3 linked regions of the Ovis aries genome follow. The protein of the gene in region 3 purifies or fractionates together with the protein of the main gene of each other region. This does not show direct contact. Links are inferred from orthologs where the notes say so. Each region holds a gene or a part of one and is shown on either strand. Other genes may lie near its edges.

The links.
Region 1: the proteins of GSK3A (region 3) and AXIN2 purify together in Homo sapiens (affinity purification with mass spectrometry; 3 studies listed by BioGRID and IntAct, with this or other methods). This does not show direct contact. The link is inferred for Ovis aries from reciprocal best matches to the Homo sapiens genes GSK3A and AXIN2.
Region 2: the proteins of GSK3A (region 3) and FRAT1 purify together in Homo sapiens (affinity purification with mass spectrometry; 4 studies listed by BioGRID and IntAct, with this or other methods). This does not show direct contact. The link is inferred for Ovis aries from reciprocal best matches to the Homo sapiens genes GSK3A and FRAT1.

Annotation. Positions count from the first base shown.
Region 1 is NC_056064.1:61,410,449-61,416,859, reverse strand, and holds part of AXIN2 (axin-2), read left to right. Parts: intron 1-1,634; coding exon 1,635-1,775; intron 1,776-1,870; coding exon 1,871-2,388; intron 2,389-2,487; coding exon 2,488-2,679; intron 2,680-2,958; coding exon 2,959-3,195; intron 3,196-3,729; coding exon 3,730-3,825; intron 3,826-4,942; coding exon 4,943-5,110; intron 5,111-6,411. UniProt on the Homo sapiens protein: Inhibitor of the Wnt signaling pathway. Down-regulates beta-catenin. Probably facilitate the phosphorylation of beta-catenin and APC by GSK3B.
Region 2 is NC_056075.1:18,393,481-18,399,991, reverse strand, and holds FRAT1 (proto-oncogene FRAT1), read right to left. Parts: upstream 3,166-6,511; 5' UTR 2,988-3,165; coding exon 2,157-2,987; 3' UTR 584-2,156; downstream 1-583. UniProt on the Homo sapiens protein: Positively regulates the Wnt signaling pathway by stabilizing beta-catenin through the association with GSK-3. May play a role in tumor progression and collaborate with PIM1 and MYC in lymphomagenesis.
Region 3 is NC_056067.1:50,611,256-50,617,766, forward strand, and holds the start of GSK3A (glycogen synthase kinase-3 alpha), read left to right. Parts: upstream 1-2,782; 5' UTR 2,783-2,910; coding exon 2,911-3,193; intron 3,194-4,922; coding exon 4,923-5,110; intron 5,111-6,406; coding exon 6,407-6,490; intron 6,491-6,511. UniProt on the Homo sapiens protein: Constitutively active protein kinase that acts as a negative regulator in the hormonal control of glucose homeostasis, Wnt signaling and regulation of transcription factors and microtubules, by phosphorylating and inactivating glycogen synthase (GYS1 or GYS2), CTNNB1/beta-catenin, APC and AXIN1.

The sequences.
Region 1 (6,411 bases), on a different chromosome or scaffold from region 3:
CAGTGTTTGAGGATCCATGAGCGCTTCTTCCTGCTTGAGACGAGAGGCCAGCGGGGTGTGGAGGGCTTTTCAGGGACGTCCCTGATGATTTCCAGGTCCTGGAGGGCAGCCAGCCCCCGGCCCCGCAGGGGGCCACCCTACCCCGTCCAACTGCTCCCTGGGGAAGGGAAGAGAGTGCCCAGCTCAGAGCAGCATCTGTTTCTGAGTCCTTCCTGCCAGCCGCAGAGAACCCAACTGGCCCACTGGTTATGTCGCATGCAGAAAATGAGCTCATCGAATTGCTGGTCCCACGTTGCATTGGTGTGTTCAGACTGTTGCAACTCCTCTCCAAAGCTCCTGGAACAATCCAGGGCACTCAGATTTGTGAAAATAGCCGATGAAGATGGCTTTTCTGGGGACCTCTAGCACCCCCCTTCTCAACCACCGTCTCTTCACCCCAGTACAACAGTATCCATGAGATGTATATGTTTTGATTTGGTAGAGCCAGGGTGCTGGGGGAGTTTTGTGCTTTTAAGAAAAGTTCTGTTGCCCAGGCTTAAATTACGTGATTTTTGTCCTGGGGAGTGCAAACCGGTCTTCTTCAGCAGGCGGCACTTTGCTGGGGTGTGGGGGGCCTGCATGGAGCCAGCCTGGGGGAGAATGGCAGCTGCCTCCAGATGGGCCCACCCCTCCTGGGGTCCTGTGGCTCAGCGGTTGCCGTGGTGAGGCTCAGTTCTTTGCTGAGGTGGGGAGATGCTGGCCTCTGCAGGTTGGCTTTCTGTTGCCCTCCTCCCCCTCAAGAAAAGGGCCAAAGCAGGAGGGAAGTGGGGGGAGGAGGCAGAAGGACCAGGGGTGGGAGTGGGGGGCTCAGGACGACAGGAGGGGACAGAGGGCCGGCGGCGGGGGTTCTCTGTCGGCTGCTCTTGGCAGTGTTCTGGTGCCTTTTTATATTCTGTGCTTGACTTGGAGATGTTCCCTTTTCCCTTGATAGATCAGCTTCAGGCAGCCAAGCTCAGCAGTGTTCTGCTACTAGCCTGCAGCAGCTTTCTTCATTTTCTGTACAAAGAGATGGCAGGAGGGGTGGGCCAGAACGAGGGGGTGGGTGCAGTGTTAGACAACACCGCCTCAAAGGTGCACAGTGTGCGGCCAGGGAAGAAATTGCCGCTGCTTCTGATCTGGGCCCTGTGACTCCTTTTTTTTTCTTTTGCTCCCCCCTACCTCCCTTCCAATCTTATTTTTTCACATTCCCAACTCCCTTTCTGTTTAGGCTCATACTTTTTATTCCTTGAGTTGCGCTCTCCCCTCCCCATTGCAGAGAGCTGCCTTTTTTTTTTTTTTTTTTTTTTTTTTTGATGTTTGACAACAGTCTTTGAAGATTTTCAACTTCAGAGTAGCGACTGATGGGCTGGTTGTACTACAGAGGGAGCGCGCGCGGCCTCTGGGAGTGCGACCAACTGCTTGTGCCCACGGCGCACGGCCGGGGACCGTGGCTCTCCATGAGGCCGCGGTGCCGGCACATAAAGCGGCCATGCCACCCAGGCCCCGCTCCGCCCAGTCTCCGCGCGGCTGTGGACCTGGCCGCATCCCGACACCCGTTCCCCGGCCCTGGCAGCCTCCTGACGGCAAGCATCCCGTCTCCTTCCCGCGCCCCGCAGAGAACCCACCGGCTGCCCAAGGAGATGACCCCCGTGGAGCCTGCCGCCTTCGCGGCCGAGCTCATCGCCCGGCTGGAGAAGCTGAAGCTGGAGCTGGAGACGCGGCACAGCCTGGAGGAGCGGCTGCAGCAGATCCAAGAGGTGGGCGCCATGCCGCCCCTGCCCCCGTATTAGCGGGGGAGGGGGCTCCTGCTGACCGGGCCACCTCCCCCAACCAACGCTGCCTTCCTTTCCAGGATGAGGAAAAGGAGGGCACGGAGTTGGCACCGGGCTCACGGGAGGCAGGGCCCGCGCCGCACCCCCTTTGCCTCCTGCCGTCTAGCAGCTACGAGGAGGACCCGCAGACCATCCTGGACGACCACCTGTCCAGGGTCCTCAAGACCCCCGGCTGCCAGTCCCCGGGCGTGGGCCGCTACAGCCCCCGCGCGCGCTCCCCCGACCACCACCACCGCCACCACCTCCAGCCGCACCGCGCGCTGCCCCCGCCCGGGGGCCCCCTGCCCCCCGCCGCCGTCCCGGCCAGCTGCTCCCTCCTCGGGGCCAGGGGCTTCGTGAGCAGGCAGGCCACAAAGCACGTCCACCACCACTACATCCACCACCACGCAGGCCCCCGGACCAGGGACGAGGCGGAGGCCGAGGCCGCCCCACGTGCGCGCTGCCCCTGCCCGGTCCCCGCGGGCGCCGACTTCTCCTGCTGCGCCAAGTGCAAGAGCCACCCCGGGGTCCCCGAGCCCCCGGGGGCCGCCCAGCTTGGGTGAGCGACCCTGTGCGAGGGTGGGGCGGCGGCAGGGAGGGGCGGGGCTGCGGCGGCGCTCGCGGGGGCTGAGATGGACGCGCTCCTCTGTCCCACCAGCAGCCGGGGCGGCGTCCCCCCCAGACGAAGCGCGAGAGGCTCCGAGCCGGGCCCCACGGTGCCGGCCAGGGAAGCCGGGGCTCCCGGAGGAGCGGGGTCCCTGCAGCCGCCTGGGGAGGAAGGAGACAGGGCTCAGGTCGTGTGGCAGTGGGTGCTGGAGAGCGAGCGGCCCGGCAAGCCCAAGCCCCACAGGTGAACCGCGGCGCGGCCCGCCCCGGGGCGTGGGGGTAGGCTGTCCGGGTGGCCGGAGCGAGGGGGCGGGGGTTGCCGCCCTCCCAGCGCCAGCAGCTGCGCTGAGACCGCAGAAGTGCCGCGTCCTGGCAGCGCCAGGTGGTGGTATGGCCCAGCTATCTTTTTTTTCTTTTTGCTCTCCGGAGGCAGGATGGAGAGCTCGCTGGTGGAGTCACATTTTCCAGTTTTCCTAACCGCATTTCTTACCCTCGGTTTCCTCTCTCCACCTTTCTCCTCCAGCGCCCAGAGCACCAAGCGGGCCTACCCCACGGAGTCGGCCCGCATGTCCCCAGCAGAGCGGGCCGGCCGCCACCACCTGTGGGGGGGCGGCACTGGGCACCCCCGCACTGTTCCTCGGGCCCACCCAGCTTGCACCCAGGACTCCGCGGTGCCTCCCCTGACCCCACCTAACACCCTGGCCCAGCTGGAGGAGGCGTGCCGCCGGCTGGCTGAAGTGTCCAAGCCCCCAAAGCAGCGGTGAGTAGACAGGCTGCAGCAGTCAGGGGCGGGGCAGGCCAGAGGACCCATGCCTTGAGGTCCAGCTGCTCTGACAGGCTCACTGGGATCTGGCCAGTCGTGCCTGCAAGAAAGAGAAGGAATCTCTGAAATTCCTTGCAAATCCCATTCCTTGAGTGTCCCAGTCAGTGGGGGTTGTGAGATGAGCTCCAAGGCGCTGTGACCCGCTGGGGATCCAGTACCTGCAGCCCTCGGCCTGGGTGGGCCGCGTGTAGTCCCGGGGGCCCAGGGCTCAGCATGGCTGGGCCAGGCCCGGGGGCTCCTGTCCACACAAGGCCTGGGTGGGACTCCGCCCAGGGGGCGTTGGAAGCCGGGGAGGCTGGCTCTCTGTTTTCCCTTGGCCCCAGGGATCCCTCTCAACCTTTCCTGGCCCTGGGAGTTCCTGTCCACACAAGGCCAGGGTGGGGCTCCGCCCGGGGGACGTCGGAAGCAGGGGAGGCTGGCTCTCTGCTTTCTCTTGGCCCCAGGGATCCCTCTCAACCTTTCCTGTGTTAGGTGCTGTGCGGCTGGCCAGCAGAAGGACAGGAGCCACCCGGGCCCTGGGATGCCGGGCGCCGCGCCCTTCTCCAGCCCAAGCCCAGCTTTGGAAGAGTGAGTGTCTTGGCCTGGTGACGCTGAGGTCTGCCCAGAGGCTTTGTGTTTTCAGGGTATTCATGTCAGGGGTTGCAATTTTTGAAAACTTTTTTAGTCTATAAAATCATCTTGATTTTAACATCCAAGACAAGGAATTGTAAACCCAGATGGTGCCATAGATCAGAGTCTGGAAAACCCCTGTCCAAGAGGAACGCATGGTGACTCGTAGTAACACGCGGGTGTCCTCTTCGTGAAGTGGTGGTTGGCTCAAGGTCACAAGCTGAGAGCGAAGCCTTTAGCTTCTGGTTAGAGAACCCCAAACACAGATGGAAAAGCTGTTCCCATCCACCTGGAAGGCTAATGGGTTGAAAACGTTTGCGTGGAACTGAGCAGGAAGGCGCTTCTCCCCGGTTGCAGAGACAGACGAAGGGCCCATCCTTGCTGTCTTGCAGGGGCCGGTGTTGGGAGTGGCGGGAAAAGCATCTCCCCGCCGATGCCCCAGTTCCTGTTGTCAAGTTACGCTCCTGTGACCGGACAGGGAAGCCAGGCTTCTTTTGGTTCCGGGACGGTGTGTGAAAAGAGTGGTCAGCTGCTGAGATCTGAAGTGGTTGAAATCATTCACCTGTCCGTCCTTAGCTGCTCTATCATGAGTAGTGTTCAAAGAGAGAAAAAAACCTCTACAGTGTTTTAATTGGTTGACCTTAAGTTGACCAGGTGTTTGGGCCTATTGCGCTTTTTTTAGCCATTCTGCAAAAACTCAGAAGTTGCAGTGACTGAGGGCTGATCCCCACACACCCCCACCATGGGCCCTGGCGTTCCGAGTTCACGCCATCCCTGGGCAGAGGCAGAAACCACAGACCCTGGCTGGGGCGAGTGTGGTGTCCTGGTCACTCTGGGAGGGTTCCTATCTTTGGAGGCAAGTTCCCTGTGATGCCCCCCAATGGACATGGCTCCGTCCTCCCATTGGGCGGCACACACACACCTGTGTGCCCTGCACTGATGACCTTGCCCAGGGCCCTCGGCACACACAGCTACAGCCTCACCTCTGAAGATACAGTTTGCAGACCTCCTGGGGGTGTGTGCGCTCTGACCGCTTTCAAATGCTGGACCTGTGGCTTTTCCATCTCATTTTCAGCCACAAGGAGCCCAGGAAGCTGGCAGGGATGCACGCGCTCCAGGCCAGTGAGCTGGTGGTCACTTACTTCTTCTGCGGGGAGGAGATCCCCTACCGGCGGATGCTGAAGGCCCAGAGCCTGACCTTGGGCCACTTTAAGGAGCAGCTCAGCAAAAAGGGAAACTACCGGTAAGCATCCTGTGGCTTTCCTCTGCTCCAGAGTCGGTTTGCTCAGAACCAAGAGCCAGGGTCACCTCTCAGCCCCCAGACCTGCAGGGGCCAGGTGGGCGGGCAACCTGGGGCTTTGCTCTGTCTCCTTTCCTCCGACTCCCCCACCCCTGCCCCTCCTAGAGATAGCACAGGGCTGGGCGGGCTTTCTCTAGCAGGAGAAGTGGACTCAGGAGCCAGGGGACAGCTGGCTTTTTCAGAAGAGCCGGGCAGGAGCCTGAAAGGGAGAGCGTGGGGAGAACAGAGGGGTCGGACAGACTGATGAGGAGGCTGAAAGGCGGCCCTTGGGCAGGTCCGGGAGAGACTGCCACCCATGACACGTGGCATCGTGCCCCCTCAGCTCTGGGTCCCAGGTAGTGTGAGGCAGGGTGGCCTGAAGCGGACAAAGGGCAGGACCTGTGGGTGGGTGTGGGGGCACAGGGCTGCCCACTCTTCCTGCCAGGACCTGGGGAAGACGCCCTGCCGTCCCCCCAGGCCTCTCCCCACCTACAGGGTGCAGACCCCGCCCCTGGCGTGCCAGCCCCAGGCGTCCTTGGTTACTTTTCTCTTGCCTTGTCTGGTTCATCCAGAGCCCTAGCTGGCCTTGTCGGCTGCCTCCATCCCAGAGGAGTATGCGGGTTGTGTCCAGCTGTGTCCTGGGTGCCATGTGCAGGGCCAGGACGAGGAGCGGGGAGCAGTCAGGGGGCACGGGTCAGAGAGGAGCCCAGCTGGGGCGCAGAAGCTACCGCCCCAGTGCCCCCCCGAGCGAGGGAGGGAGTGCGAGAACTTTAGCATCCCTTAGCAAGTGGCCTGATGGGTGAGCCCACCTCCCGGGCCCGAGACCCCCGCCCTTCAGAGCAGGCCCCCTGCAGCCCGGAATGACTTGGTTTGCAGGGAAGGGAGCAGGGCTCAGGGCTGGGACCGTGCCAGTGACAGACCACAGGCCTTGGGCCGGGCTGGCGTCTTCCTGGTTCACACCTGGGCAGAGGTGGTTCTGGAGATGAACAGAGGGGGAACGGGCCTGGCTTATCTCGCACAGACCCAGGCGAGGGTAGGGGCACACGTCCCCCTCCAGGGACCCATCAGGACCTCAGCTTTGGCGCGGCTGGCCCTTGCGTGGGACTGCAGGTGACTTTCCGGGGGGCCCAGAGCATGGAGCAGGGCAGCCCCCGCTTGGACGCTCTGGCCACATCTGGCCTGGATCCTGTCTGTCCCGAGGCACGCTCAGCGAGCCGGGCTTTGAAGCCCCAGCCCTCCTCTGACGAGCGGACTCTGCGCTCACA
Region 2 (6,511 bases), on a different chromosome or scaffold from region 3:
AACAGACTGAAGTAACTGAGAACCAGAGGGATAGAGATGGGCTGTTGGGGAGAAACAGGGAGTAAATGTGCCAAGGGCAAAGAGAGGAGTCCCTTCATACCTGCCATCCCACCCCCAAGCAGCTTTCCCACTGCACATTTGCACCCTGAGTACCCCCTAACCAAGAGCTGACCCCAGCTCTTAAAGGGCCACCTTGTGGAACAAGTCCACTTAATAACCACAGTAGAAAGAAAAAAGCGATAAGCTTCCCAATCTGCAGTGACTGACTGATCTGATGTCCTTTGCTAATACAGTCAGGGGCAGCTTCTCCAGCACTGACTAGTAATCCAGAAGCTCTAAGGTTTTAGTGAATGGGACTGGTCCAAATCCTGACCTCACTTTCATTTAATTTCATGCCAGCACCAATACACACCCAGCCGGCGCAGACCCTAACTAGGGAGCTGCTCAGACACAAAGGCGCTCTAATTACCATCCACAAGCCAGGCCTGACAAGGATTTCAAGTGTTTTCATGTTTATGGAGATCAGAGAAATGTGTTCTGTGCATCTTTCCCACCGCTGACAAGTATAAAATAAAACCAAACAAAAAAACCAACACATTTATTAAAAACAGATATTTCAGTTAAGTTAACATCCTATAATCAGGATAGCCACAATTCCAGACACTCCGGTGCGAAGTGTAGGTATGTCAATAGCCACATCTGGATGACGAACATGCCATTGAATCTTATACAACTAAAACATCAACAATACCGTCTTAGAGCCTTTAGACTGCGTTAACATTGTTACGAGCACTTCACCAGGTTCACAATGGCAAATTCTGCAGCTTCTCCATTCGGAGGGTCACATTTTTTTACTCGGTTTCCTTCACTTACAAAGGCAAGCTGGCACGGCTGGGGGGAGGGGCAGAAGGAGGAAATCAACTCCATCTATCCAGGGAATTGCAGCTGTTATTGCAAATGGCCCCGGAGAGCCCATTATAAGCTGCTGCGCTAGGCTGTGTGTCCCTGGAGTGCCCCATCACGTGGTGTCTCCCAGCCCCCAGCCTGGGCCCCCAGGAGCGGCAGCGCCACCAGCTAGAGTTGGACAGCACAGCGGAGGGGAAGAGGAGGGACTCGAGGCCAGTTCTCCGGGCAGTTTCCGTCAAAGTCCAGGGCGCGGCCGCCCGCAGGAGGCACCGGCGCCTAGCACGTCGCCACCTCCCTCAACCCGCGGTGGCAGCGGTGCCCGTGTCCTCAGAAGACTCCAGCACTTGCAAAACACCGCGTACTACTCCGAGTACAGGCAGAACCGGGTGACTCTGCCCTGCTAGAGCCCCGCAATCTCGTTTGCGCCCAGGAAATGGTGACCTTGAACCCGAGGAGGGGCGGACAGACGGTGAAAATACACATTCAAGAGGACCGCGGGTTCGCTCCGCGCCGCGCCCTCACCTTTCCCCAGGACCTCTCACCCCCACGTCCAATTAGCATCCCAGGTGCTCCGCCTTCCCCCGCCGCTCTGAGAAACGCTGACAGTCGCAAAGCGGGTGGGGTGGGGGTTCGCAGAGAAAAGGTTACTTCTATTCAGTTCTCCAAAATGTCCTTTCACGGTGCCGCGTGTTTTATACCAAGTACAAGCACCTCAAAATACACGAGATAGGTGTTTTGTTTTTTTTTAAAGTGTCGTAAAATTTCAAGTCTGGCAGTTTGAGGTACTCCCTTAAATGATCTACAAATGTTCCCCTCTCCTAAAGTGAATCAGGAACCAGCCTTGGAAAGGTAAAGCAAGTAACTGGGGTCATCCTTGGCCTTTGGGCGCTCCGCGATCCTGTGAAGCATGGACTCCGGCCACGTGGTTGCCAGGTTAGAGTACCCGAGAGGCTGCGTGGAACCGCACGCTGCGCCACCAGGGCTGGTCACACCAGTGAGGAGTCCTACTGACTGCGAGCTTGGGGTGCACTCTGTAATCTGCCTTCAGTGGCACCAACGAAGTCAACCACGTCGGGGCCCTAGACCTCAGTTCCCGCGAACACATTCTCAATTTTTCGATTCCTCATCTTCATATAAGGTATTTTCCCGCTTCCGGAAGTGCGACTTCACCAGTTTGAGTAGAGATATAGCCCTCAGGGGAACCCCTTGCCCTTCAGGCAGAGGCTCGCGCAGTGGCCACTCTCGAGGTGTTAGCTGCCAGGGACTAGAACGCTGTCGCCTGTTCTGAGCTGCGCCCTCCTCCCGGACGCGCCGGGGTCGCTGCAGGCCGCGCGAGGGCTGCGGGGCGAAGGGGGCTCATGCACTGGGGCCGACAGAGGGCCCAGGAGCTGGCGCTGGGGGAGCTTTGCGTGCAACTGCAGCCGTCGCGAATGAAGCCTCCGCACCGCCTCCTTGATGAGGTTTCCCGAGAGCACGAGCTGCTGCAGGAGCCGGTGCGGGTCGTCGTCGCCGTTGCGGGCTGTAGGCTGTAGCCCGCGTCGGTGCTGGAGGCGGCGGGAGGCAGCGGCGTCCCGCAGCCAACCTCGCCGGCAAGGGCCCGACAGGGGCTGCGGGGAACCCCGTTTGTCTGCTCCCAAAGGCCCGTCAAGGCTGGGCTGAGGGGGCAATGGGGACAGCGCGCTGGGGCCTGCGGCGAGCTCCGCCACAAAGTAGGGCGCAGCCCGGCCCCGCACGCGGCCGCGGTCCCCGAGGGCGCAGCGCAAGGCCCCCGGGGGCGCCGGGCCCCCAGCCTCGACCGACGCGGCCGGTAGAAGCAGCGGCTGCGCTGGGGCCCGGGCCTTGTCCGCTCTCACCGCCGCCGGGGGCCGCGGGGGCTGCAGTGGCGGCCCCGGGGGCGCGCACGCGGAGGCAGGGCGGTCCTGCGCCGCGTCCAGCTGCAGCGTCTCGCCGATCTGGGCCACCAGCCGGTCCACCTCAACCGAGCCGCCCACAGTCACCGACTGTTCCAGCAGTAGGAAGCTGTCCTCCTCCTCCTCCTCTTCCTCGCCGGCTTCCTCTTCCTCCTCCCTCCGGCACGGCATGGCCCCCGGCGCCGGCACCCGGAGCTGTGCGGGGGTCGCTGGCGGCTCGGCTGTCCCGGGGGCTCGGTGGGCCGCGGCGAAGCCGGGCGCGGTGCCGAGGCCAAAGCCGGAGCCCGGGCGGACGCGGAAGCCGGAGCCCGCCAGGCACTCGCGCCGCGCGCCTGCAGCCGCGGGAGCCGGAATCCTACCGGCTCGGGTTGATTTGTAAACAATGGGTGACGTAGCCGCCGGGCCCTACCACCGGGCCGAGGAGGGGTGCTCCGTGCATTTGGGGGCCCGGGCAACCTCTGGGCAAGAGTCGTGGGTGAAGCCTTGCTCCCTCTGAGCTTTACAGCCCTGATTGCTGTCTGCGGGGGGAACTGGGGAGCCGATCTTCGCTCTCTGAGCCTGGCATGATTGACATATCCAGAAGATGGACACCGGCGTGGCCTCTGTTGGTTTCTTCCACACACAAGCACAGACACTTACACCCACACACCCACACACTTCTCTAGGCGCGTCAACGTGTCTGGTTTTGGCATTTACGCTTTTGAGGTTAGGGATGCCGGCATTTGGGAAGTGATGGCAGCGTGAGTGAGGCGAGTGATGGAGAGAAGGCGTCAGGCTAGGGATCTGTCTGGAGATTAGGGAAACGAGGCTGACAGATGAAAAGGAAGGGGACCCTGTGGTGCGATGGGGGTGGCGGATTGGAAATTGGCAAAGAAAAGCCACTGATTCGTGTTTTTTTGATCGGGAGCGTGGGTATGTGGGGACCTGGACAGTTACTGTAGAGGAGGTTGCTCGTCTTGGGGGGAGCGGCGAGCTAGAAAGTTCTTTTAAGAAGAATGACTCAACCCAGTAGGGGAGTATCCTTTCTGAAATGGGTAGCAGGAGAGGAAAACGGTCAGCTATTTGGATGGAAATGGAGACACGGCCATGGTAACCCTCCAAGATATCCTGGTTGGTTTAATGATTAACCAAGACTTCATTTTTTAAAAGAAAGAGAGATAGAGAACGATTCTTTATCATCGTATTGTTTGGAGTTTTAAAACCTGTATTAAAAATCCCAAACCCCTCAGGCCTAACTTCTGAACATTAATTACCCTTGTAGGTAGATTTTTGGTGGACCAACCTTTATAGGGGAGGGATAATAGCAGGGTGATTGAAATATTCCAAAATGGGATTATGGTAATGGTTGCACAACTCGGTAAATTTTCTAAAAATCATTTATTGAAAAAAATTTTATTTTTAATTTAATCATTGACTCAATGGACATGAGTTTGAGCAAATTCCAGGAGACAGTGAAGGGCAGGGAAGCCTGGTGTTCTGGAGTTCATGGGGTTGCAACGAGTTGGACATAACTTAGCGACTGAACAATTTCTTAGTGAAGAATAATTGCTTTACAATATTGTGTTGGTTTCTACCATACATCAACATGAGTCATCCATGGAGTGAGTGGAGTGAAGTCGCTCAGTCGTGTCCGACTCGCGACACCATGGACTGTAGCCTACCAGGCTCCTCCATCCATGGGATTTTCCAGGCAAGAGTACTGGAGTGGATTGCCATTGCCTTCTCCGTTTGAACCGGGGTCTCCCGCATTGTAGGCAGACGCTTTACCATCTGAGCCACCCATATGTCCCTTCCCTCTTGAACCTCCCTCCCGCTTCCCACCCCATCTCACTGCTCTACATTATCACAGAGTGATTTGAGTTCCCTGGGTCCTACAGCAAATTCCCAATGGCTGTTTTATATCTGGTAATGTATGTTTTCACGCTACTCTCTCCATTTGTCCCACTCTCTCCTTACTCCATGGGTCCAAAGTCTGTTCTCTATGTATGCGTTTCCATTGCTGCCCTACAAATAGATTCATCAGTACCATTTTTCTAGATTCCATATGTATGTGTTAATATACAATATTTATTTTTCTCTTTCTGACTTACTTCACTTTTTATAATAGGCTTTAGGTTCGTCCGCCTCATTAGAATGGACTCAAATGCGTTCCTTTTTATAGGTGAGTAATATTCCATTGTGTGTGCAATCCACAACTTCTTTATTCATTCGTCTGTCAGTGGACACTTAGATTGCTTCTGTGTTGCTTCCATGTCCTAGCTATTGTAAATAGTGCTGCAGTGAACGTTGGGGTACATGTATGTTTTTCAGTTATGGTTTCCTCGGGATATATGCCCAGTAGTGGGATTGCTGGGTCATATGGTAGTTTTATTCCTAGTCTTTTAAGGAATCTCCGTACTGTTCTATTAGTGGGTGTATCAATTTTCATTCCCACCAACAGTGCAAGAGGTTTCCCTTTTCTCCACACCCTCTTCAGCTTTTATTGTTTGTAAACTTTTAAATGATGGCCATTCTGACCGCTGTGAGGTGATACCTCATGGTAGTTTTGATTTGCTTTTCTCTAATAATGAGTGATGCTGAGTATCTTTTCATGTGTTTTTTAGCCATCTGTGTGTCTTTGGAGAAATGTCTGTTTAGGTCTTCTGCCCACTCTTTGATTGGGTTTCCCTGGTGGTTCAGAAGGTAAAGCATCTGTCTGCAATGCAGGAGACCCAGGTTCAAGCCCTGGGTTGGGAAGATCCCTTGGAGAAAGAAATGGCAGCCCACTCCAGTATTCTTGCCTGGAAGAGTCGGACACAACTGAGCGACTTCACTTCAGCTTTTTCATTAGGTTGTATGTTTTTCTGGCATTGAGTTGCATGAGCTGCTTGCATATTTTGGAGATTAATCCTTTGTCAATTGTTTCCTTTGCTATTATTTTCTCCCATTCTGAGGGTAAAAACTCATTTAATTGGCATGTAAATTACATGTCAGTAAAGCTGTTTTAACAATTAGCCACAAAGTACACACATACAAATACAGAAGCCAGGCAGTAGAGAGCTACTTTACAGTATGGAGCAGGGGACTAGCATTATTTGGAAAGAAACTGGAGCCTGGGGATCCAGGTAAGTAGAAACAAGGGTCTTGGTGGGCAGTTCCAAGATGCTAATAACAGGAGCAAACCTTTAGGGAGGAGTGGGATGGAGGGAAGAGGTGGGAAGTTTTGTCAAGTTTGGAGGGAAGAATGTGAGAATAAAGGAAGAGGCAGTATGAAGAAAGCGAATGAATTTTTAAATCTTGGAATTCTGGACTTCTACAGGGTGTCTTAAAAATCATCACCTTATTTCAGTGGATTCCTTAGGATTTTCTGTGTACAAGATCATATCTGCCGACAGATGAAGGTTTATTTCTTTCTTTCTAATCTGGATGGGGTTTGTTTTTCCTGCCTAATTCTCTGGCTGAAACCTCTAGAACAAGATTGAAGAGAAGTGGTGAGGGCAGACATCCTTGTCTTGTTCCTGATCTTCAGGGAAAGTATTCAGTCTTTTACTATTAAGTATGATGTTGGCTCTAGGTTTTCATAAATGGCCTTTTCTCAGGTTGGGGATGTTCCCTTCTTTTTCTAGTTTGTTGAGCATTTTTTATTGTGAATGGGTCATTTCTCTTTATCTTTACTTGAGTTATAATTGATGTATACCTTATGTAAATTGAAGACA
Region 3 (6,511 bases):
CTCCCTTGGGGTGGGGGCCACTGGGCTATTTCTGGAAGTAGGGATGAGGCGTGTCTCCTGGCAACATGGATGCAGCTAAGTTGGTGGTGGTGTGATGGAGAGAGGGGGATGTCATCACTGAGGTAGGAGGGAGGACCCTGACTAGTGGTCTCAGCACCTGATTCTAGTGCCTTCAGAGCACCTCTAAACCGGATCTACCATGGAGTCAAAGGTGCTCAGCTCCAGAACCCCTCTCCAGATCAGATCACAGCGCAGCCAGATTTCTTTCCCCAAATTCTGGCTGAGTGGGATGTCACACGTGGCCTCTGGTCTTGAAAACTCCAGCAGCTCCTCTCATCTTTAAAGTGGCCCATCTAAATCTATTCAGTTTCTGCAAGATCATACCCTTGCTCCCTTCCACATCTTTCAGGATCTCTGATACCAAGTAAAAGCTCTTTATAGATCTCAAGACACTTCCATCAATTAATTCATATTGTCAGAGACCCTCTCCTTACCTATAATCCCCAGCACTCCCTCAGTCCCCAGAAATTCCTTTCTTAGGCTTCTCAACCATCCCTCACTTCTTCAGGTCCCTCAGAAATACCCTCAGTCACCATCAGTTTCTCACAGTCTCCCACAGATCTTTTACAGACACCTCAAGTCCTTTCTGACTTCACTCCTCTCCAGGAAGACCATTTTACCTCTTCACACCTCTGAGCATCTCTAGACACCCAGAGGTCCCTCATAGCCACTTACAAACCGCTCTAGCACCCCTCAACAAACGTTCTCATCTCGTACAGACATTCGGATAAGATTCCTTCAGACTGACTCCCTCAGACTCCCACGGACCCCCATATCCTCTGGCGGTTGCACACGTGCGGCCCACTCCGCACTTCCCACGGGTTCTGGCCGTTAAGTAACCGCCACTATTCCGCCCTGTTCTCCTGCCCTTGTAAGCCTTCTTGGTCCAGGTTAGAATTCCCCAGGATTTGGGGTTTGAGTCAGATTTTTGCTTTTGGACTCCGAGCCGCCGTCAGAGGGCAGCAGGAACTGTTTGACTGAGGGATTACTACAACTCCCAGAAGCACCCGCTCTGGACTATGCAGTGATGTAGCCGAATTCATTGCGAAGAGAGCGGAAGTGTGACTGTGCTTTGCCTTCTGGTTAATGTAGTACGAAAGGCTTCAGAGTTACTATCCGTCCTGCCCCAGGAGTCCGCTGGGAATTGCACTCAACTACAGCTTGGACGAGACTTTTTTCAAAGGGCAGGGCAATTAGAGTGATCACAGGATCTGATTAAAGTGAAGCCTAGAACTCCATTTCCCGTCATTCCACGAGGCAGGAGAAGAGGGTGACTTCATTTCAGTTACAAATACTTCCGGAACACACAGACGACACATTCACATGAACTCTTATTTCCCAGCACACACTCACACGAGCTCTGTATACACACACACACACACACTCAAACGAACTCCGTTTCCCAGCGCGCTTTGGACTGCCGTCCTTCCGGGTATTAATCGATAAGTGGTGGCAACATAATGCGAGCACAAAACGCGAGGCTACTCCTAGCAGCTGGCTTCCTTCTTTTGGGCCTTCCAGCATCCTGTAATTTAGGAAGCCTGCGGATTCAAAGAGCTTAATGGGATGTTCAAGATAAATTGTGTTTTCATTTTTTTCAACCTTCAGTTCAGCCTCCAGGTGCAACGTACATTGTTAGGAAAAGCTAGACAATATCCGAAGACTGTATTGTCTTGAAAATCCACCGGAAACTTTGTTTCCTAAATCGTTGGCGGGGAGGGTTTTCCTTCCGGATTTGTGGAAACTTGGGAGTGTTTGCACTCCATTTTCCAGTAGTCCCTGATTGACTTCGGCTCTTTCTTGGGACCTGGCATCAGGAGAGGAGGCGTTGAAACTTTCCGCAGTCTCTTTTAGGCGACTGCCTTTCCCCTTTCGCTCACGCTCTTTCCGGCAAACCTCAGCTGTCTTCTCACAAAGGGTCGGGATCCGGTCTGGACTATTCCCCAGCATGCTTCAGGATTACGGTGGACCCCGCCCCCTCAGTCAATGGTAAGGCCGCCTTGAACTCCATTTCCCAGAAGACACAAGGCTCGCTGTAGCAACTACCCTGAAGCCTCGGTGTTGACTACATTTCCCAGCAGGGATTGCGGCCTAGCGAACGAGGGTGGAGGAATGCTCTGCCTCTCCATTTCCTAGCCTATCTCCGGAACTGCAATATCCACTTGGAGCTTAGGAATCACATGGGACTCCATTTCCCGGCGTGCTTTGGAAGTAGCTTTATACCCGCAATGCGGTGAGGGCGTGGCGACGACTACATTTCCCGGCTTGCCTCACAGCCCGATAGCGGCGGGTCCACCGACTCCGACTCAATTTCCCAGAGTGCACTTGGCACCAGTCGACATACAACCAATAAATTAAGTGAGCGATTGGACTCCGTTTCCCGGAGTGCATCGGACCTATACAGCTCACTGACGGAGTTGCCTGAGACTACATTTCTGAGGCACACCTAGGGACGCGCGGTTGCCGCAATGGAGTGAGTGTGCGACTCTGACTCTGCTTCAGAAAGTGCTTCAGAGTCCGTTGTGGGCAATTGTCCAACTTATTGCCCGGGACTCTATTTTCCGAGGTGCAGCGAGACTCATCATCGCCGCAGCCATCTCTGAGGTCTTTGTGGACTCCATTTCCCAGCGTGCCACGCGGCTCTCTGTGAGGGCCTAGAGCGGCGACGGCGTCGCGTAGGGCCGGCGGACTGCATCTCCCAGCGTGCCCCGCGGCGGGCGCTGGGCCGGAGCCGGAGCCCGAGCGGCGCGGCCTGGAAGAGGCCGGAGCCCGGGGGAGGCGGCGGCGGCGGCAGCGGCGGGGGCAGCCCGGGCAGCCCGAGCCCCGCGGCCTGGGCCTGCGCTCGGCGCCATGAGCGGTGGCGCGCCTTCGGGCGGCGGCCCTGGGGGCTCGGGCCGGGCGCGGACCAGCTCGTTCGCGGAGCCAGGCGGCGGAGGCGGCGGCGGCGGCGGCGGCCCGGGGGGTTCGGCCTCTGGCCCAGGCGGCAGCGGCGGCGGGAAGACGTCAGTCGGAGCCATGGGCGGAGGCGTGGGGGCCTCGAGCTCCGGGGGTGGCCCCAGCGGCAGCGGCGGAGGAGGCAGCGGCGGCCCCGGCGCGGGCACCAGCTTCCCGCCGCCCGGAGTGAAGCTGGGCCGTGAGTACTAGCGGTGCCCGTGGCGGGTGGAGATCGGATCCCTGAAGCCACTCAGACGTCGATCAGGTTCTTCTTTATGCTCAGGGAGGAGCTCGAGGTCACTGTGCCTTCCCAAACTGGGATCTGAGATCTACCCCCTCCCGGAGAGAGGGATTCGGGGGGGTTGCCATCACTTGGAGTGTAGAATTAGAATTAGTAATCCTCCAAAAGACAGGGTCACAGGTTCTTGTTCTTCCAGTCCCGAAGTCTTGGGTCCGTGAACCTTAAAAACAGGAATCTGATGTTGCTATCCATTCGAGAACAGATCAGGGGTCATTGTCGCTTGCAAATGGGGCTCAAGGGTTATTGTTTCTCAAGAGAACACGAATAAGATCACCACCACCCAGAGAAGGGATCTGAATTTGCTCCCCTTTAGAGCATGGGGATTTGAGTATCACTTAGAAGCAGGGATTTGGGCTTGCTGTGGCCTCAAAGCCAGGGCTTTCCAAATCTGATATCCAGATTCCCTTTTAAAACACTATCTGCCCATAATATGTAGAATTGTACACCCAATGGTGGAAATTAATGATTCCTGCTTCTTGAGGACAGATTGGAAGTCAGCATACCTTTCAGACCAAGTTCATAGTCACTAATATTCAAGAAAAGATGTCTTTCTTGAAGGGTTTCCTTTCACAGAAAACGCAATGGGGGCAGGGGCGGTTACCAGTCCCTCCCCTAGAATAAGGATGTGAAGTTATACCCATTTCATTATTCTGATGTATGATGTCATTGACTCTGGATAAATAGCTATATAGGATCCTCTCCCTCACTGGCCCCTCTGAATGGATCTGATTCATCACTGACTTCTTTTCTTTGGGGAACCTTTCACCAGTTACCGCAAGAAGAGGGATCCCTGTCCTCCAAGAATGCCACCAACTTTTGCTGCCATCGCAGAATGTTTTGGGAATTTCCTTTAAAGGACTGAGGCTAGGATAAACCCTTGATGATAGAGATCAGGTTCACCATTCTCACTATTAAGTGTTCGTCCATTAGGGACCAGTTACATACACGATGGGGTCTGGGGCTCTGAACCTCACAGGTGAGGTCAGGCCAGTGCTTTTTTCTAGCCCCAGAGTATTTGGGTAAGAGCTAATTGTCTCCCAAAAGTGAGAGTTAGGGCGCTGGCACTCCCTACGGGAAGAGTCATCCTTTTCTGTCACCAGAAACCAGTGGTGAAGTTACCAGCTGCACTTAGGGAGGACTTAAGAGATCACTGTCCCCCAAGTTGTGGGAAAGGTTAGGGCTTTACTGACATAGAAGTACCTCAGGGTTCCTGCTCTCAAGTGGAAGAGGTTAGGTCAGGCTCTCCCTAGAGAGGAGGGAGCAGAAGGCAGTTAGCTCTCATCATGGATGGATTCAACATCTGGGAGTGGTGGTGCCTCCTCACATCAGGAGGGACCAGTAATTTGCTGCTCACCAGAAGTGGAAATTAGAGGTTACCAACCCTGGCACAGCAAGAGGTTTTATGTGTCAGTATTCTCCCCTGTGGAGGAGTCAGGATTTGGGGTTCCCTGAAGGGAAGAGGGGGAAAGGAGACATCTAGGAGCCACCTTTGAAGATGGGGGAGGGACAAAGACCGTCCCCCGCCCATAAGCTTCCTGTAGAGACTCCCTGCCCTCTCACAGCCCCAGGATGGGGTGGTGGCCCGAGGGAAAAGGTCAGTAGATTGTGTGTTCCCTTTGCTCCCCAGGTGACAGTGGGAAGGTAACCACAGTGGTAGCCACTCTAGGCCAAGGCCCGGAGCGCTCCCAGGAGGTGGCTTACACAGACATCAAAGTGATTGGCAGTGGCTCATTTGGGGTCGTGTACCAGGCACGGCTGGCAGACACCAGGGAATTGGTGGCCATCAAGAAGGTTCTCCAGGACAAGAGGTTCAAGGTAGCTTGCGGGGAACGGGGATCAGGAGGTTTGACTGCACATGACTGGTGGGGGAACTCCAGCAAGAGTGCTGGACTTGGGTTTGTACAGGGGGTCTGAGCATGGGCCAGAGGAGAAGAGAGTGAGCTGTGTGGGGATGTGGATTCCAGGAGAACCCAGAGCTGACTTTTATTGGGCTCTTGTTCTTCGTAAGTGCTTTGTAGGCGAGTTTAACAGCGCAAAGATTCTCTGAGGGTAGGTGCTGTTGTTACTCCTATTCTAAGCAAGCAGAAGCTGGAAACTGAGATTCAGATAAGAGAATTGCACAAGGTCAAGTCTAGAATCTGATTCCCAAGCACTTCACCTTAACCACTGAGTTACTCTGCTACCCAGAAGAGAAAGGAAGCTGGTGGGGCTAATTCTGTCTGCGAAGGTCAGGCTCTGCCCCCAGGGTCTGGCACTTGCTGGGAGAAATCCCGCCTGTGCTGCAGATGCCTGGGTGTGGGGCCCAGGCACCCCTGAGGAAGGGGTCCTTTTCCTCATTCATATATAGTGCCCTGTGAGCTGGTAGAGGCCCTTTGGATCCTGTATAGTCGGGACGTAGGAGAAACTGAGCCTGGGCTGAAGAAACCAGGTCAGAGTTTAGGTCTCGGGCAGTGAGGACTCTCAGGGGCAGGTCTTCCTCCAGGGCGCCGGTCAGAATTTGATTATAGGTAAGTCCCGAAAGTGAGAGGAGTCTGAGGATGGGGGCCTCTGAGGCCCCAGGGGGGAACAGGAGAGGCAAGAGCGCTAAGACTGGTCTTGTGGGAAGAGGCTGAGGCTGGATCTCTACTGGGAAGGTGAGGATGAGAAGCCTGGAGGCCAGGACTCGGGATCCGAGCGCCCAGATGCCTTCCGTGAAAGCATGGAGCGGCGTGGGGACTAGGGGCATCTGGATGACCCCTCCCTGTCTAGTGTTGCTCTTGCCAGGCAGGGAAGTGGGCCTCATGTGGCCACATCATGTGATTTTCAAGAGAAGCTGAAAAACTTAGATTTACATGTGAAGTCATTTGCTTTGTAAATCTGAGCAAAAAATCAAACATTTTTAAGAAGTAGGCTGCAAGAAGCACATGTAAGTGATCTGACTTTAGTTGTGTGTGAGGGGAGCTAGGGGTGAGGAATTAGGGGCTGCTCCATATGGGGCCTTGGAGCTAACGCACGGAGTGGCTGCTTGGCCCTGCCGGCAGGAATGGGAGTAGAGCTGTGGTGAGGGGTGCTCGGGAGGGGAGGCGGGGAGAGTGGCTTGTCTACTGAGGCTCTCTTCCCTTGCCCCCCAAGAACCGAGAGCTGCAGATTATGCGTAAGCTGGACCACTGCAATATCGTGAGGCTGAGATACTTTTTCTACTCCAGTGGGGAGAAGGTGAGACCTGGGTGTGGGGAT